3 linked regions of the Arabidopsis thaliana genome follow. The protein of the gene in region 3 interacts with the protein of the main gene of each other region in a pairwise test. Each region holds a gene or a part of one and is shown on either strand. Other genes may lie near its edges. The genes, in order: AT1G63820, AT5G56900 and SNI1.

Region 1 (4,620 bases), on a different chromosome or scaffold from region 3:
TTGTTTCACATATATACTAAACCACTATTTTTAGTGTGCAACTTGTTTCAAGTCCAACGGATGATTGGACTTGAGCATATTGATATACTACAAAGCTATTCTACATATATTAATTTGAAATGTGATTCTCTAAAGCGATAATAATTCATAATTTCATATATGTACTAACAGACTAAACTGACAAGAGAGGATCTTGGTCCTCCATGATAGAAAAATGTTGTTTTGACTACTATATATCAATGATTCGGACTATTAAAATATTAATCTAAGATCATATAACCAATGTTTAGTAGTCCACTAATTCAAATTCATCATATAAATTAAAATTCAGACCAAGGAATCTTCCTTCGAGGGTCAAAGATTTTTCCATCTGTGATAATTAATCATAGCACAATTTATTTATTTACATATTCACATGTAACACCACTATGACAATGTCACTAGGTACCTTATATATTAAATCACTATTTTATTCTCTTGGAAATAAATATCCATAATTTTTACCTTACTTTTTGATTCTGGTGCAGTAGTATGTTCGAGACATGAATTGCGAGATTATAGTTTATATGATGTATAAGAGAATAGTATATAGACTCTTAACCCAAAACTCTCTGACTAATTATGTCATTTAAAACGTACACAGTGCAAAGATCCGACTTATGATTACTCAACTTCATGGTAAATCCAATCATTACACTACAATACATTGCTAATATATATGATTTAATTCGATTCGTCTGCATATTAAAACTAAATGGGAAAAATATTCATCTCTTCCTTCTCAAACAGAGGCTTTAATTTCACCAGTAGGAATTTGTCATGTATTGCATTTGCAACTGAGGCTGAGACTGAGACTGACATTCCACTAAGTTCACACAAGCTTCTTCTTCCTCATGCAGCCCATCCAAATTCTGCCATAATGTTAAAAAATAAGTAAATAATTATCAGTTATTTACTTAATCTCAATTTAAATACAATTTATTATACTTGTATAAAAAGATGAAAAAGTAAGGTTTGTAATTTAGGAATCAACTTGAATTTTACTTACCCAAAGGTCGTCGTCGTTTTCTTGTCTAGTGAAAGAAGAAGCAATCTTGGGGTTCTCAAACACTTCGTCGTTTCTTGCAAATCTGCCACGTACTCTTGGTCTGTTGTCCGCCAACGTTTTCCGGCATGCATACTTCAATTTTTGCATTTAATATATAAGAAAATTATAACGGTGCAAACCAAAATTACAAATGTAAAGTTGTAATTTGTATAAAATTGTAAAACAATTATTTAATTAATTGAATATGTGCATATAATTTGAGTTTTGTTCTTTTTTTCTTTTATACAACGGGGAATAATAACCAAGCAAAAATTCAAGTTAATTTCCAAAGTCTCTGAAATAGTTTGATTTATATTCCAGTTTCTTTAAAAGAACATGTAATTCAGTTCTATTTCTGGTTTAATTGTTATTTTGACCAATTAATATAGAGAAAATTAGATATTTTTTTCGTTTGATTGAGAAAAAAATAAACTTGTTAAACCGAAATTAAATTCATTTAGAATTTTATATTGCTAATAGTTAAAACTAGTTATTAAATAGTAGTTATTTAACTTATTATTACCTTAATGGTTTTGGTGAAGTTTCTCTGTGTTCGTTTAGCTCTATACTTAGAAATCTTCTCTTTACGTTCTTCGGAACTGTAACGCCCCACCCTCAAGCTTTGTTCATCGCCGGAAAACACCGTCGTTGGTGAACTCTCCGCCGCCAAAGGACTCGAGTATGATCTCTGTCCCGTAAAATCCCTTCCTAAATTCTAAAAAAATTCCAAAATATTAGTTTTTGTGTGAAATCACAGAGGAAAACAGAGGATATTATAGCTAAAGTACCTGCAAATCTCCGGTGCTGTAAACTCGTCGCATGTGATCGGAGAAGAAGGAATCTTCCGGCGAGTTTAACAAATTCTGATTCTGAAAATTCGAGGAATCTTCCATGAATGGAGCATCAAAGGGAGAGTTAAACAAGAGCTGCTCTGTTTTGACAGTGTCGAAGTTTTCGAAACCGGAGAAGTTGGGGAAACTGTTTGTGTGTGTGAGAGTTAAGGTCTGGAGCTGAGAGATTGGAGGAGAAGAAGAGAGGATATGATGAGTCGTCGGAGTAAAACTTTCAAAGAAACTAAGAGATTGATGATCATCCATTGAAGGATTGAGATAAGGATTGTTGCAGTAGAGATCTGTTGTTGTTGTTGTGTCGGAGGAAAACATATCAGGATCAGTACTGTGGCAGATTGAGGAAGAAGATGAAGACCCATCAAAGATATAAAGATCAGAATCCATGCCCTTTTTATTTTGGTAACACAAACTCAAGATTCTCAATGAAGAAGAAGAGAGATAAACAAGTGAATCTTTTGGGGTTATGTTCTGTCTTTTTTTACTGTCTCTGCAATTGAATTGAGCAAATGAAACGGTTACAGAGAAAACACAAGTGACACTCGTGATCTTTGTTTTTTTGAAAACCACCAGAATCCAAAATTGGCAAAAAGAAAACTGTTTTTTCTTAATGTAAATTTGGACCTTTTACCCAAAAAAGTGTGATTTTTTTTTTTGTTTCTCTCTTTTTCTTCACAGTTCTTGTTTCAGAACCAAGGCATGACAGGTCCAGTTTATTTGGTCTGGTGGGCTATGTTTATATAGCAGACAATTAGTGGGTTTAACAAATGTACCCTCGTATTTTATTTATGTTATGAATTTCTCCATATACATTTAATTTACACATTTTTGTCTATGTTTGTAAATAATTTATTGTAGTAATTTTCTCTCTGGTGTTTTTATATCTTAAAGTCTAAACCCACTAGGGTATTTTGCATGACATAAGCTAAAGGTAAGAATTGACAAACCTTTTATACTCATTTGCTATTGAAATAGAAACAAATCGAATTTAGCGTGTGATTCGTAGAGCCATTGACGACAGTGGACTTTTGTTTGAAAAAGGAGAAATTGAAATTTGGTGTCAATGTAACGGATCTGACTTTGAAAAAGTAAAATTTACATGCGGTAATTGGTGACGGTAAAAACTTATTTTGTAATTTTTTTTTTTTGTCGGCAAAATATTTTGTAATATTACCAACATTTGCAAAAAATTTAGAATGCAGAGATAGAAAAACTCTTTCTTCGACTTCAAACTCTCATTAAATCCGTAGAGGAATAGTTATTTTCTAGAAACCATCGAAATTGTTACCAAACCCTCATTTGATTAATGCGTTCAACATTTTGAAAATCTTTTTATTTGTGCATTAATGTGATTTTTATTTTTGATCTTACTAATTATATAAATTTAAAATTTATTATATAATTCCGGCATTCCCCAAGGTCATATTTTAACCAATCAGAACCCGAGGATATTAAATTTGTTGGTCCCGACAATTAAAGAAAAAGTTGTGGGTCAAACTGGTCCTAAATAATAGTCAAACTTCTCATTTTTTCTAAGAAACTGATTTGATAAAAAAAAATATCTTCGTTGAAGTGAGGGTGACGAGAAGTTTCTGCTTTCATCAATTAAAGGTTTACGCGTGAAGCAGATCATCAGGTTCTTATAGATTTTGTAACCGATTTTGATTTATTGCTTTTGCTCTGTATAGTCACTGATTTAGGGTTTTTCGAATCTGAACTTCTTCTTTTTTGAGTTTCCAAAGCAATGGCGGCGTCGCAAGATAAGTTGGATAAGATGAAACTTAGGCAAGATTACCGGAATTTATGGCACTCCGATCTCATGGGCACCGTCACCGCCGACACTCCCTGTAAATCTCAGTCTCTTTTGTTTTTGTTTTTATGTCTCTTAACTTCATTGTTTTTTCTATTGAAGAACTGATTTTTGTTTTTTTCGGGAATTATGAACTTACTTTTTGCAGATTGCTGCATCTCGTGTCTGTGGTAAGTTGTTGTTGATCTATTTGCTTTTAGGGTTTCGTTGTATCTGAGATTGTTTTTAGGCTTATTTTTGCTTGATTCAATTTTGAGTCTGTATTCATGGTTTTGGTTACATATTTGATTTGTTATACATTTTGAATGTAGTGGACCTTGTGTGTCATACATGCTTCGGAGAAGAGCACTTTACAATGACATGTCAAGGTATGTAATTTCTAAACTATTTTGAGAATATTAGTCTGATTTTTTTCTTTGCTAAGATATTGCGCGTCACAGGTATACTTGCTGTGCTGGATATATGCCCTGTAGTGGAAGGTGTGGAGAAAGCAAATGTCCTCAACTTTGCCTTGCCACTGAGGTGAGACTTCGATTATTTCTGATTTTTTTGGTGAATGTAACATTAGTTTTAACATCAGTGAATGACACTCGTTTTGTTTGTGTAAACTTATTGAAATGGAAAGTGGAACATGAAACAGTTTATGATTTGGATATTTTCTTTTTCTCGTAGTTGTGTCACTGTGTCTTTCTGGGACATCTGTTCAAATCTTATATAATGTGATTCCGTCATCTTTCCTAGTTTCCTCTGCTCTATATTAGAATTCCGTTGCTCAACTTATTTGACTTAGGAGATCACATTATTTACCGATGAGTGTGATGTTCTTGATATTTTGGCATTTAAAACCTGCTTGCAATAATTCAATAGATCTCTTC
Region 2 (5,986 bases), on a different chromosome or scaffold from region 3:
TATTCAGATTTTCCAAAATAAGGTAAACAACAATAAATGGGAAAATTAATCTAGAAAAGATGCAAATTAGCTTAAATTACTAGAAAATTAGAGGGTAGTTGATGCATTTATAGAGACCTAAATTTTTTGGGACCATCAAAATTCACTTTCACATTAAAGGAAATGAGAAGGTAAAGAGCCATGTGTAGAGGCATAGACAGAATCTATAAACCCTTGTTGATGATGAAGTTTTCTTTTGTTTCCTTTACTCTTTTGCTAAAGCTGCAACAACAACAGCGGGAGCAGCAAAAGAAAGCTTAAGTTAACCCTTAAAGATGAAGAGATCAATGTTTCTCTTCTCTTTTACCATGTGATAAAAACCACATTCTCAAGGTACATCTTTTAAATGCTAGAGAGTTGAATCTGATTCACTAAAACCAGCTTTAATCTCACTGTTATGACAAAAGTGGATTTCATTCAGTGATCAAAGATTGATGCTGAAACCCACATTGATCAGATACTATCTGTTTTTTTATTTGATTATTAACCATTCTAGAATTAAAGTATGTCTTGGCTAGAAATGATTGCGATTAATTACTGTAAAGGAAAAAAAAATGTACATTATTACCAACCAACAAGAAGTCAGTAGTTTAGGTGAAAACAGGTGAAGCAAATTCTACCATGACTGTTGTGTGTTTCTGTGATGATCACTCTCTTACATCTCAACAAACAATAATATATCAAAAAAAATGTTTAATAGAAGAACAAGATAGGTAACAACTAACCAGTAAAATAGTAAGGAAACTGATGGAAGACTGTTAGCTTTTAACTGACCAAACAAAGAACACTGTTGACAAACCTATTTCTAAACGACGATGCTTCGCATGATTCAGCTTCTGACCTAGAGAAAATATTAAGTCCAAAGGTGGTTAGAAGAAAACATAAACGTCAAAAGATAATAGAAATTTGGTATTAAACTGGAACAGAAACACAATACCTGAGTGCACTGGAGACTGAGTTTAGCATGATTGATGCCCACAAGATAGCATCTAATCGTATCTTTTGTTCAGTAAGGTTATTGGCAAGGGTCAAATTCTTGAAATTGTTTCTTGAAATCTTCAGCCAGCTTTGCCTCCTCTTCTTGGCTAATTTTACAGTTTCTCCAATCGGCCCTATCTGGGATCTTTAGCAACCCTGCTAGAACCTGTAAAATCCAATGTCATTTCTATAGCAACAAAACGCCTTAAGGATCTCAAAATATTGTTAAGGTGGATCAGAAGTTATCTATCTATTCGAATCCAAAATGTCATATATTATGATCTTAGCATGAAAGTTCTTTTGTGAATGGTCACTCTGTATTAAACAGAACATAATGTTTGACTCTTCATGCGTATGAATATTGTGTTATCAATGGCATCTTTCTTTAGTAGTATAATAGCAAAGTCGCAATCCATTCATGAATTGTCTTACCTCCCGTCCAAACTGCGCAGGGAATACTTCGTTTTCTTCCAAGGTGTGTGATAGCACAGTTCCATCAGGAAGTTCCACATAGAAGAGACCCAATGCCGCATTATATTCCTTCTGCAGATATTTTCTGCCATCAGTACTATCATTAACTGCAACAAAGACAACATCACTGAGTTATAAGATAGGGTCCATTGATTCTATAACATTGAGAAGAAAAACAGTAAGAAAATCAGCTTACACTTTTTAGTCACAAGCTTAAAGCCCAGTTTTTCAGCCGCCAGACTAAAGATATTAGGAAGAAGACGAGCTCTGGATGATGGAACAGGAACAACCTACATAAGGTAGACTACTGTAAGTAACTTTTAAATTCAAAAAGATCCACCTGATTTGCAATAGGAACTTTTCTTACTTGGAGGTTAGCATGAGAAACACGTTTAGAGACCAATTCAAAGAAAACTGCATCATTTCCTTGGCTCTTATAACAATTTCTCAGACCATTTTGGTATCTACTGAGCTCTGATTCAACCTCAGGGGATAAAACCAGAGTATTGGGCAAATGTTCGATTGGGATTATCAATATGTGATCTTCGACTAGCGAACCTTTGGGTAGAGCACAATAAAAACTTTCCCCTACACTGACGATTAAATGTGACTCCACACTCGGGCTTGATAGACAAAACCAGCATTCTTTTGACCTGAGAAAAGCAATTTTGATTTGACAATTACTGTCTCCACCCCGAGTCCAAATGGCATATATGTTCTCAGAAGCTAGATTAGAATATACCTGTTAGCATTCTCAGATCTGGGCTTCCTTTGTATGCTACTTTCATCTTGAAACTCATGCTTGTAGCTGCACTCTGGGCCTTTTTCACACTTACCTTTGATGATAAGATCAAGACAAACACCTCTACGACACTGTTCTCTTGCTTCAGCGTTGTGTTGGAAATGGCAATCTTCACCACGAGGACAGGAACCTGAGCAGACAAATTTGAAACAGAGCTTTTCCCCTTGAGATCCACTCTTTTGCCGCTTTGGGACATCATACCTCCAATACTGTGAATCAGAGTCACTATCGTTTGGCCTCTTCTTCGATTCAGCAGCTCCATCTTGTAAATTATAAGGCCATAGCGTAGTTTTTGGAGGCTTTGCACTAAGCTCTGCTGGTGACATGGTAGATGTTGGTGTAGGAGAAAGCGCATGAAGAAATTTCTAAAAAGTGGAAAAAAGAAGTAAAATTGAAGAATATATGAAAACTGCATGAAATCATCAGAAAACGCAAAAAAAAAAAAAAAAACAGTCTGATGTGCTACATGTGTTTGCATAGATTCTGCATCCAAAGTATATCCATCTTAGGAGGAGCCATACATACAGTTAAGAGTACCACTCAGGAGGCAAGTGATCAAACAGAGAGGTACCAAAATCTTCAGAAAAAATTAATAAGATACCAAGCTCGAGTTGAAAGGAACTATAGAACACACCTGTTTGTTTTTATTTCCAACTTGAGCAAGACCAATAAAGCGAGTTACATGAGTAGATTCAGCGTTGAGGTAAGGTTCACGGGCATAAAATACCCCCATAGAACCTGCAATGTGATAGCTACCACAAAAGGAAACAGAAACCGCAAATTAAGTTCATAACTAAGTGATCAAAATTCCCCAGTAACAACAATATTAGAATCGAAAAAGCACTTACCGAGGTTTAACTTCCATTACCAACTCAGAAACAGTGGAATCACTACAAGAGGAATCAGAAATTCCAACAGGAATATCAGAAACCGCAGCTCTGTTTGTGACTCCCGCAGGCCATTCATTAGTAATACACTAATTAAGGACGACAAGTAGAACAATAGAGAAATGTATCCACAGTTCTAATTTCATCAACTAATACGAAAAAGGATATGTTAAGAACAAATCAACTCCTCCAGGTTCCTCAGCAAGTGCACGAAGAGCATCAACATCATCTTGACTATATTTCCCAAATTGACTCTCAGATGATTGTCTACCAGATAAGTAAGCAACAGACAAACCTAAACAAAACAACTTATCAAAAAAAACTGATAAAGATTGATACTTTTATGATATTAGCAAAACCCTTACCATGGAGACTGAACTTCCCACTTCCTCTTAACCAAAACAAATTGTGGCAAACTTCGAGTCCATCCATCTTAAACCCTTGATTCTCAGCTTTCTTCGAAGTCGTCGATAAGATTTTGGGTGCGACGACACCATAGTCTCCGGTGAAGTAAGTAGGAATCGGAACTTGAGCTCGACCTTCGACGTAATCCAAAAACTCATCTAGAATTTCTGGAGAATCGGGAAAAAACTGTCCGACGCAAATCAGAGCATCAAAGGGACCAGCAGATTTGCTAACCTGCAAAAATTGGAGTTCGATTTAAAAATTGGAGATACAGAATCAGGTGAAATCGGAGAGCAGAAGGAGAAAGATAGTGATAGAGACCGATTGGACACGCTTGAAGAGCTGATTGAGACGTCCAAGAGGATCTCCACAGAGTAAAATTCTGGGCGCCATGACAGTGATGACACTGGACGGAGGAGAAGGAGGAGGAAAGCAACGACAATGACGGAGACGACTATTTGAGACTTTTCTTTCACTCTTAATGGGCTTCTAATGAGCCCAGTTAAGTGGGCTTCTCATGAGCCATTCATCTAATATTTGAGCCTTCTCTTTCACTACTAAATGGGCTTCTCATGAGCTTTTTTTTTCTCAAATCATCATCATCATTCATCCATCTATATTTCAAAAAAGAAAACAAACACGATAATTGTCTTCTATTACCTCTCTCTCATTCACCTCTCGCTAAGTGTGCGTTAGCCGTTAGGGTTCCGATCTAATCATGGCGGACTCTGTTTTGAAGGAGGTTAACTGTGGCCGGCCTGAAAAGATCCCGAAGTTGGACAAAGCTTGCGAAGGATCGAAATCGTCCTGGAAACATCTCAAGCTAGGAAACGTGGAAGATGATGAGTATCTTCGACAGTATTGTTTGTTTCACTACGAATTCCATAAATCCGAGGTACTATTCAACTTTAATTTTTAAGCTTCCTTTCCTTCAAAATTAGGGTTAATTCGAAAATCGGAATCTGATAAGAAGTCTTTTTTGGCTTAATTAGGGTTTCACGGTTGATTGGGAGAAATATGACTACATGTTCCATATAAGGCCGTTGGAAAATTCACCACCTATCAGCGATATACGAACCAATGCTGATGTGATCCGTGATGTGACACTCTTTGCCATTGAGAAACACAATGAAGCTCATGGATCTAAACTTGTGTTTGTCGAGCATGTCTCAGCTAATTTCAAATTTGCCAATGGTCTCCTCTGCTGGTTAACATTCTGGGCTACCGATATGGCCTCATCCGCTCCTACATCGCAGATCTATCAAGTCGAACTTTGGCGTCGCGGAAAACAGTTTGAAATTCCCATCTTCAGGGTCAAGCCTAAGGACGAAGGTGACAAATTTCGTTTTAACTCTATTGGTTTCTTCTTTTTATTCTTTGGCTGCTACCTATTCTGATGTTTAACTCGTGTGTGTTTATGCGATGCAGAGATGGATGATGTTGAAGTGAAACCACCCTCTCCCATGCCTTATGATGACTATGGTACTGCTACTTTCTCTTGGTTTACCTTTTGTGACCTTAGATTAGTTTACTAGGTGTTTTACTTTTCTGATCAAACTAAACCACCTTTACCTTTGCTTTTCTAATCAATGCTAGTATTCATTAATTGTGTTTTGTTGTCATGTAGATAAACCACCGGTTGTCTTTGTTCGAGCTGCTCCTGAAGATGGTGTCCCTTTCGTCTTTGATCGAACTGGAGCTCTTTATGATCTCTATCGGTCTGGTTTGTAAGGAAAAAGTATATATACCATTCCTTTGGTGACAAAGAGATATGATGTTAGTCACTGACTGAAAAATCAAATTAGGCTTGTATTAATATTATACCCTCTGAATTTTCAACTTCTTCTATCTCTCTAAATGTACTAGCTTCTCTTCTAGAGATCTATGAACACAAATAGAATTGATATTCAAAAATCCATTTGTTTGAGAAAAGAATGTAACTTTAATTTACCTTTTTTGGTGGTGGTGGATCTTCATAAATTTGTTTTCTTTTTCTTCTATCCATATCTTAAAAGGAAAAAAACAATGAGTTCATGAAAACCAACTTAGTGAAACAAAAATAAAATTCACCAATTTTAATATAGACATATAAGCTTTCTGCATTTTGAAGAGGTTATCAAAAATATATCTAAAGAGAAAAAAATCTCACGAGGGAAGAAATCTCACCCAAAAATTTAGCTTATTTCCGTTTTCCTTTCTTGATGTCACATTCAGCCTGATACAAAGAGGAAAATGAGCTTGTAGCGGCCCACTAGACTCGTAGCAGACTTTTTGCGTTTTTACTTTGACGGTGTATTTTTTCTTTATTTATATGTTAGACCATCTTCATTGGGGGTATCTCATAGGAGTTTCTCACAATTAAAAATATAAAAATAATAAAAATGAAGGAGAGAGAGTGTAGAAA
Region 3 (5,135 bases):
AAGTTCTAGAAACTTCTGGAACTTGAATTGATCTTGTATCGGTTTGTGGTGTTCCGATGTAATTCGCCCAAACGTTCTTTAGGATCTCGCCGTCTAGTTCTTGGATATTGCCAAAAGCCATTGTTGAATCAGAGAGGAGTATGTGTTGGTGAGATTTAGGGCATTTTAAAGAGATTGTTGCTTTGGGGGTTTTGTGTGTACGTTGAATGGGAAATCTGCGGCAGGATAATTGGGAAGTACAGTTGGTGAAACTTGTGTTCTAAGGTACTGACCGCATTTCATGGAGGGTTTTAGGTTCCACATAAAATCAGGGGTTTTCTGTGTATACACACACACACGTACCATTATGTGAATAGATCATCTTAAGTCAACTTCAATAAATTAATTTAATAATGTTACCTCAGTTTGAAGTATAAAGATTGTGTACTATTTTCATTAAAAAAGTGCAGATTGTGTACTCTTGAAAAGGACTAGATGCAGAGTATTAATTCACTTTTGTATAATAAACATATTAATCTTCAGTTTAACGCTTCATGAGAATCTATGACGTGTTCCCACCAGAGGCACAAATCCGTTTTGGAGAATTGTGATTATTAAATCAAACATAAGTTTATTGTTTTAATGTTTCGTTCCACGCTCGTCGCATTTTAAAAAACTTTTTAACTATTTTTTTGGTTATAAAAAGAAATATAGCTTCTAAATGACTTGTTTCTACTGTTAGATTGATGAACCTTAATACTGATTTAGCTTTTCATACATCGATAAAGAATTCTTCGGTGTTTAGTTAAGTTTGTTAGAAGTTATTATTTTACCATACGATCACAGTTTAACGCATATTGCCTAGAGAATATAATATAATGATAACTAAACGCTATCAAAATGTGAAACGAAATAAGAAAAAACATGTAAGGGCTAAGTCATCACTAACTTTTTATCCAAGTATTATTTGTATGAGATCATTTTCCGTAAGTCCAAAGATTTGAAACAATGATGAGAGGTGAATAGAATATATAAATTCCACACGCTTTGAAACATAGCTTACAATTGAAAAAAAATGAAAAAGAGATTAATATCTCTATTCAATGTATTATAGAGAATGAGCTAGAGATACTTTATATGGTAGGTTCAAGTCACCTCAAGTACGTATCAGCTAATATTAAAAAACTATCTGCTAATTTTTATATCAATCGTTTAAGATTCATTCATTCGTTCTCCACTACGAGAGTTTCTTGCTTTGGCACATATATAGTTCAAGAAAGTCTCGTGTTGGAGAGACTCCAAGCGTGCTAGAGCGTTTCGATTAGAAAGGTGTTTTGTTCGAGCATTAAAGATTGTTGCAATGGTTCTATCTTAAGGTAGTCATTTGTTAAATTTTGGTATTCAATCTCGAGAGCTTCATAAGTCTAGCGAGCTTCATAAACACACTACAAGTCATGTGTATAAAATTTCCAATTCTGTAATCACAAGTCTAAACTTAATCTGAATCCAAATCACAAAAAGCATTTTCAAAATTGATTAAAAAAAAAACTACAATATAGAAAAGATTTTAATTGATGCTTGGAACGGAACTAACATTACCTGTTATGATTTCGGGCCTGAAAGTATTCTGAGTTTTGATTCAGAACCACTCGGTATTAAAGAAAAAGAAGACTTACTACAAAAAAAAAATTATATATATTTTTATGAATTATTATAACCAACTAATATTGTCTCTATTGGTTCTAAGTTCAAACTTCTAACCTTCGAGGGCCGGGTTCAAATTCCAGTAAGTGATTTATTTTTTGCTAACAATTCTCTTATGGCGGGAAAATTGACTTCTGTCGAGAATTAGGGTTTCTACAAATCTTTCTCCGTTCTAATTTCGGATTAAGATTTCAATCTCTCCTTCTCGTTTTCTTCTTTGGTGCTGCTGAGAAGAAATTAGTGAAATTGTGAAAGAGAAGATGTCGAAAGAGACGAAGGGTAATAACAATACAAGCAGAGTGATGAGTGGCTATGGCGGTAGCTTGGAAGCTAACACCTTGGCTATGATTGATTCCACCGGAGCTAAAGACAGTCGCGACGCTAACGAAGATCGTACGTTTCCTCAATTTTCAATCTTCGTCTTTGTTTTTGTTAATTGTATTGATCCTTTGAATGAAAAACCTTAGGTTTGCAGTATCTGGAAGCTGTTCGTGCTGCTTCACTTGTACCCGAAAATGGAATTCCTCCAACCAAGTAAAAAATAAAAAACTCTGTTTTTCTAAGAAATTTGAAGTTTTTACCTCTAAAAGAGTACTGATTTTGATTTGGGTTTTGTTTAATTTTGAAGCAAAATGTACCAAGCGATTTTCAGGATATTGAGATTTGGTAAAACATTGGAACTTATCACAGCAAGTTTCCAGCTTTTGACTCAATTACATCAGGTACTTGTTGCAAGATTTTGGTAGTGTAATTTGTCCAATAACTTTTATGAGGTTTCAGTGTTTTGCTTATTATGATTATGTTTTGTTTCAGCGGTTTCCTTGGGTTTATGTATCTGATTCAGCTGATCAGTTGGACATCGTTGACGAGGTACTTGTTACAAAAGTTTTGATGTGTTTTTGTTCATTCTTTGTTATGGTGGGGATGGTTGATTTCATGTGTTTGTTTATGGTTTTGTTTTGCAGGCTTGGTCACCGTTTAATTTCGGGTCTGATGTTGATTCTGATGAAAAGGATTTATCAGTGAGAAGCTTATGTAAGGACGTTTGTCTTCTCTTTTTGAGTTAGCTTTTTGTTGGTTCTTGCTAAATATGATTTTTTGTTTGTTTTATGATTTCAGTTTTGCAACAGCTGATTCAGAACATGAACAAAAGAGTTAATGAGTCTGAGGAATCAGATTTAAAGGTTGATTTATTTGTTATGTTGCAGATAAGCTTTAAAAATTGGTAGACTTTCACACAACTTGTTGTTATTTGATTCTTTTGTTTGGATTTCTGCAGATCCTTGGAAATATGTTTCTGTTCAAGTATCTTGCTCATGTTCTTAAGCTAGATTTCACACCCCGAAATCAAGTGTATGAAGGTATAGATTATGTCTTCATAGTTTTAAGATTTCTCTTTATCTTGTTAAGTTTGGGGAAATTCTTAGAACTTTTTGTGTCCTTTTGTGCTCCAGAAACTATGAACTGGAGTCTCTTAAAGGAATCTTTTCTGAATCTACTTCTGGTACATCCCACAATCAATGGCTCAGAAACTAGTATAGTAATTTATTTGTGATTTTTAATGTTATGGTTCTGCTTGTAGGCTTCAAGAAAAGTGAATTTCAAACTTCTAATGAAAGATTATCTATCAACAATGTGTGCATCCATTGATGCTGATGAAAAGTCTATCAGTTTGGTAGAATTGCACAAGGACATGCTTACTGCTATGAAAGAACTTCTAGTAATGGTAAGTTTTCGGTTACCAGAGTATTAGTGTTTCAATTTTCGGAGCTTTTTGCTCTTACGTTTCTGTTCCTTGTTTAGATCATGGAGCTTGATACATCAAAGAAGAAAGCTGACTTAGAAGGGATTACCTCTAGAGGAGATGGCGTAAGGTAATGAGTTTCTGCCTCACTTTTGAATTGTGTTTTCTCCATGTTTGTGATCCAATTTGATGCAGGACCCCTGCAATGGAGATCATTCTCGACGAGCTGACTTATGATGGATACTTGCTGTCAAAATTTCTTCAGGTAAGAGACAAACCACTTCTGAAACTCACTGTGGTCTGTAAAATTCTTCTCTCTGTGGTTCTTGAGTGAAAATTTCTTAATCAGGTTTTCGATGATCCTAAATGGAAGCTAGAGATTGTTCTCCAATACCTTACTAAATACATTCCTAAGGTTTGTTGTTAATTCTCTGATCTCTCGCTCTCTGATTATCTTCTCCAACAAATGATGTACAATATATAGTTATTTCTCTGATTTCTCTCTCTGACCAAATTTCTTTCATGTTGTAGCCTGTTGTACGTACCCGAAGAACAACTGTTCCTCAAGCAGAGGATTCGAAAACACTAAATGGGATCTTGAAGACGTTTTCAAATGGCACAAATCCAAAGAACATCACTAAAAAGATAGGACCTGACATTGTTCAGATCCTCATCGGCCATGCCTTTCTGGTAACACAATAATACCTTTGTTTCTTCTTTCACGTTCTCAGAGCTTTTTTTGGCCTCCTAATGTATTTAACTATTCGTCAGGCTCGGCTTACATTCTCTGACCCTCACGAAGGAGACTCTATTTCAGAGATATGCAGTAGTATCATCTCTGCATTTACTAGTCTAAAGCGAGTAGATCAGTAAGCTGCAGTTTCTTTCACTCTCAGTTTTTTTTCTCTTTGTGCAATCGAGATACTATACCGCTTTCCTTTGTCCAACCGAAAGTTTAATGGTTGTTATAGGAAAATCGAGATTCTACCGTTTGGGAAAGAAGTGTTGTTTACTGCAGGAATGGTACTCAAGGCAAAAGCTTAAAGCATCTAGGAATCAAGATTTTAACAAATCTAGAGACTTCAATTGGATTAGAAGCAAAGAAGTTACAATGTAATGTAGGAATTAAGAGTTACAGATCAATGAATTATGAATTTATATATTCTATAGTTTTGCCAATACAAAATGAGTGATCTTATGATTCTGTTGATGCCTTTTTCTCACTTATGGAACATATCAAGACTTGCTTTAGTAACAAATCCATGCCTGATAAGTTTATGCAAAACAATCTTGGCTTACTTGGTGGATTGAGGTGAGTCGAGCTGCATCGTGACCGGACCATCGTTTACAAGATTGACCTTTGAATATGATTAGAGAACATGTTTTAATCACACAAGATACTAATCAAACCTTGCTATTGAAAGGAGTTATCTCCTTACCTGCATCATAGCTCCAAACACACCATCTGTATTTTAAAAAAGAGAACCAATTTAGTCAAGAAGACTAGAGAAAATGAGAAGTTTTGATTAAGAAAAGATCAATGAGAGTGTGTTTTGACCTTTGACAGCATCAGGATTATATGCTTTCTGGAATTTCTCAACTAAAGAGGCGTAAAAAGGTTTCGCTTTATCAGGTGGCATTGCGACATGAAAATCTGGTTTGTTACCTTTCAAGAATCCGTATAATGTGAATTGACTAACTGTATTAA

What was found.
Region 1: the proteins of SNI1 (region 3) and AT1G63820 interact in a two-hybrid assay, tested with the Arabidopsis thaliana proteins (one large-scale study listed by BioGRID).
Region 2: the proteins of SNI1 (region 3) and AT5G56900 interact in a two-hybrid assay, tested with the Arabidopsis thaliana proteins (one large-scale study listed by BioGRID).

What each region holds. Positions count from the first base shown.
Region 1 is NC_003070.9:23,681,729-23,686,348, forward strand, and holds AT1G63820 (CCT motif family protein), read right to left. Parts: upstream 2,646-4,620; 5' UTR 2,323-2,645; coding exon 1,876-2,322; intron 1,803-1,875; coding exon 1,611-1,802; intron 1,181-1,610; coding exon 1,049-1,180; intron 912-1,048; coding exon 801-911; 3' UTR 550-800; downstream 1-549. Other genes in the region: AT1G63830 (PLAC8 family protein), read left to right, coding at 3,680-3,782, 3,894-3,915, 4,057-4,113, 4,186-4,267.
Region 2 is NC_003076.8:23,018,696-23,024,681, forward strand, and holds AT5G56900 (CwfJ-like family protein / zinc finger (CCCH-type) family protein), read right to left. Parts: upstream 4,071-5,986; 5' UTR 3,976-4,070; coding exon 3,904-3,975; intron 3,883-3,903; exon of another isoform or gene 3,817-3,882; coding exon 3,543-3,816; intron 3,473-3,542; coding exon 3,346-3,472; exon of another isoform or gene 3,259-3,345; coding exon 3,139-3,258; intron 3,043-3,138; coding exon 2,925-3,042; intron 2,656-2,924; coding exon 2,231-2,655; intron 2,142-2,230; coding exon 1,856-2,141; intron 1,779-1,855; coding exon 1,685-1,778; intron 1,596-1,684; coding exon 1,450-1,595; intron 1,184-1,449; coding exon 1,055-1,183; 3' UTR 977-1,054; intron 881-976; 3' UTR 550-880; downstream 1-549. Other genes in the region: AT5G56910 (Proteinase inhibitor I25, cystatin, conserved region), read left to right, coding at 4,301-4,477, 4,575-4,914, 5,011-5,064, 5,210-5,313.
Region 3 is NC_003075.7:10,191,041-10,196,175, forward strand, and holds SNI1 (negative regulator of systemic acquired resistance (SNI1)), read left to right. Parts: upstream 1-1,868; 5' UTR 1,869-1,943; coding exon 1,944-2,076; intron 2,077-2,150; coding exon 2,151-2,217; intron 2,218-2,311; coding exon 2,312-2,405; intron 2,406-2,496; coding exon 2,497-2,553; intron 2,554-2,648; coding exon 2,649-2,718; intron 2,719-2,802; coding exon 2,803-2,867; intron 2,868-2,962; coding exon 2,963-3,044; intron 3,045-3,137; coding exon 3,138-3,187; intron 3,188-3,265; coding exon 3,266-3,409; intron 3,410-3,486; coding exon 3,487-3,557; intron 3,558-3,622; coding exon 3,623-3,692; intron 3,693-3,776; coding exon 3,777-3,842; intron 3,843-3,958; coding exon 3,959-4,117; intron 4,118-4,198; coding exon 4,199-4,296; intron 4,297-4,398; coding exon 4,399-4,471; 3' UTR 4,472-4,622; downstream 4,623-5,135. Other genes in the region: AT4G18450 (Integrase-type DNA-binding superfamily protein), read right to left, coding at 1-121; AT4G18460 (D-Tyr-tRNA(Tyr) deacylase family protein), read right to left, coding at 4,723-4,785, 4,867-4,892, 4,986-5,126. UniProt on the Arabidopsis thaliana protein: Component of the SMC5-SMC6 complex, a complex involved in repair of DNA double-strand breaks by homologous recombination.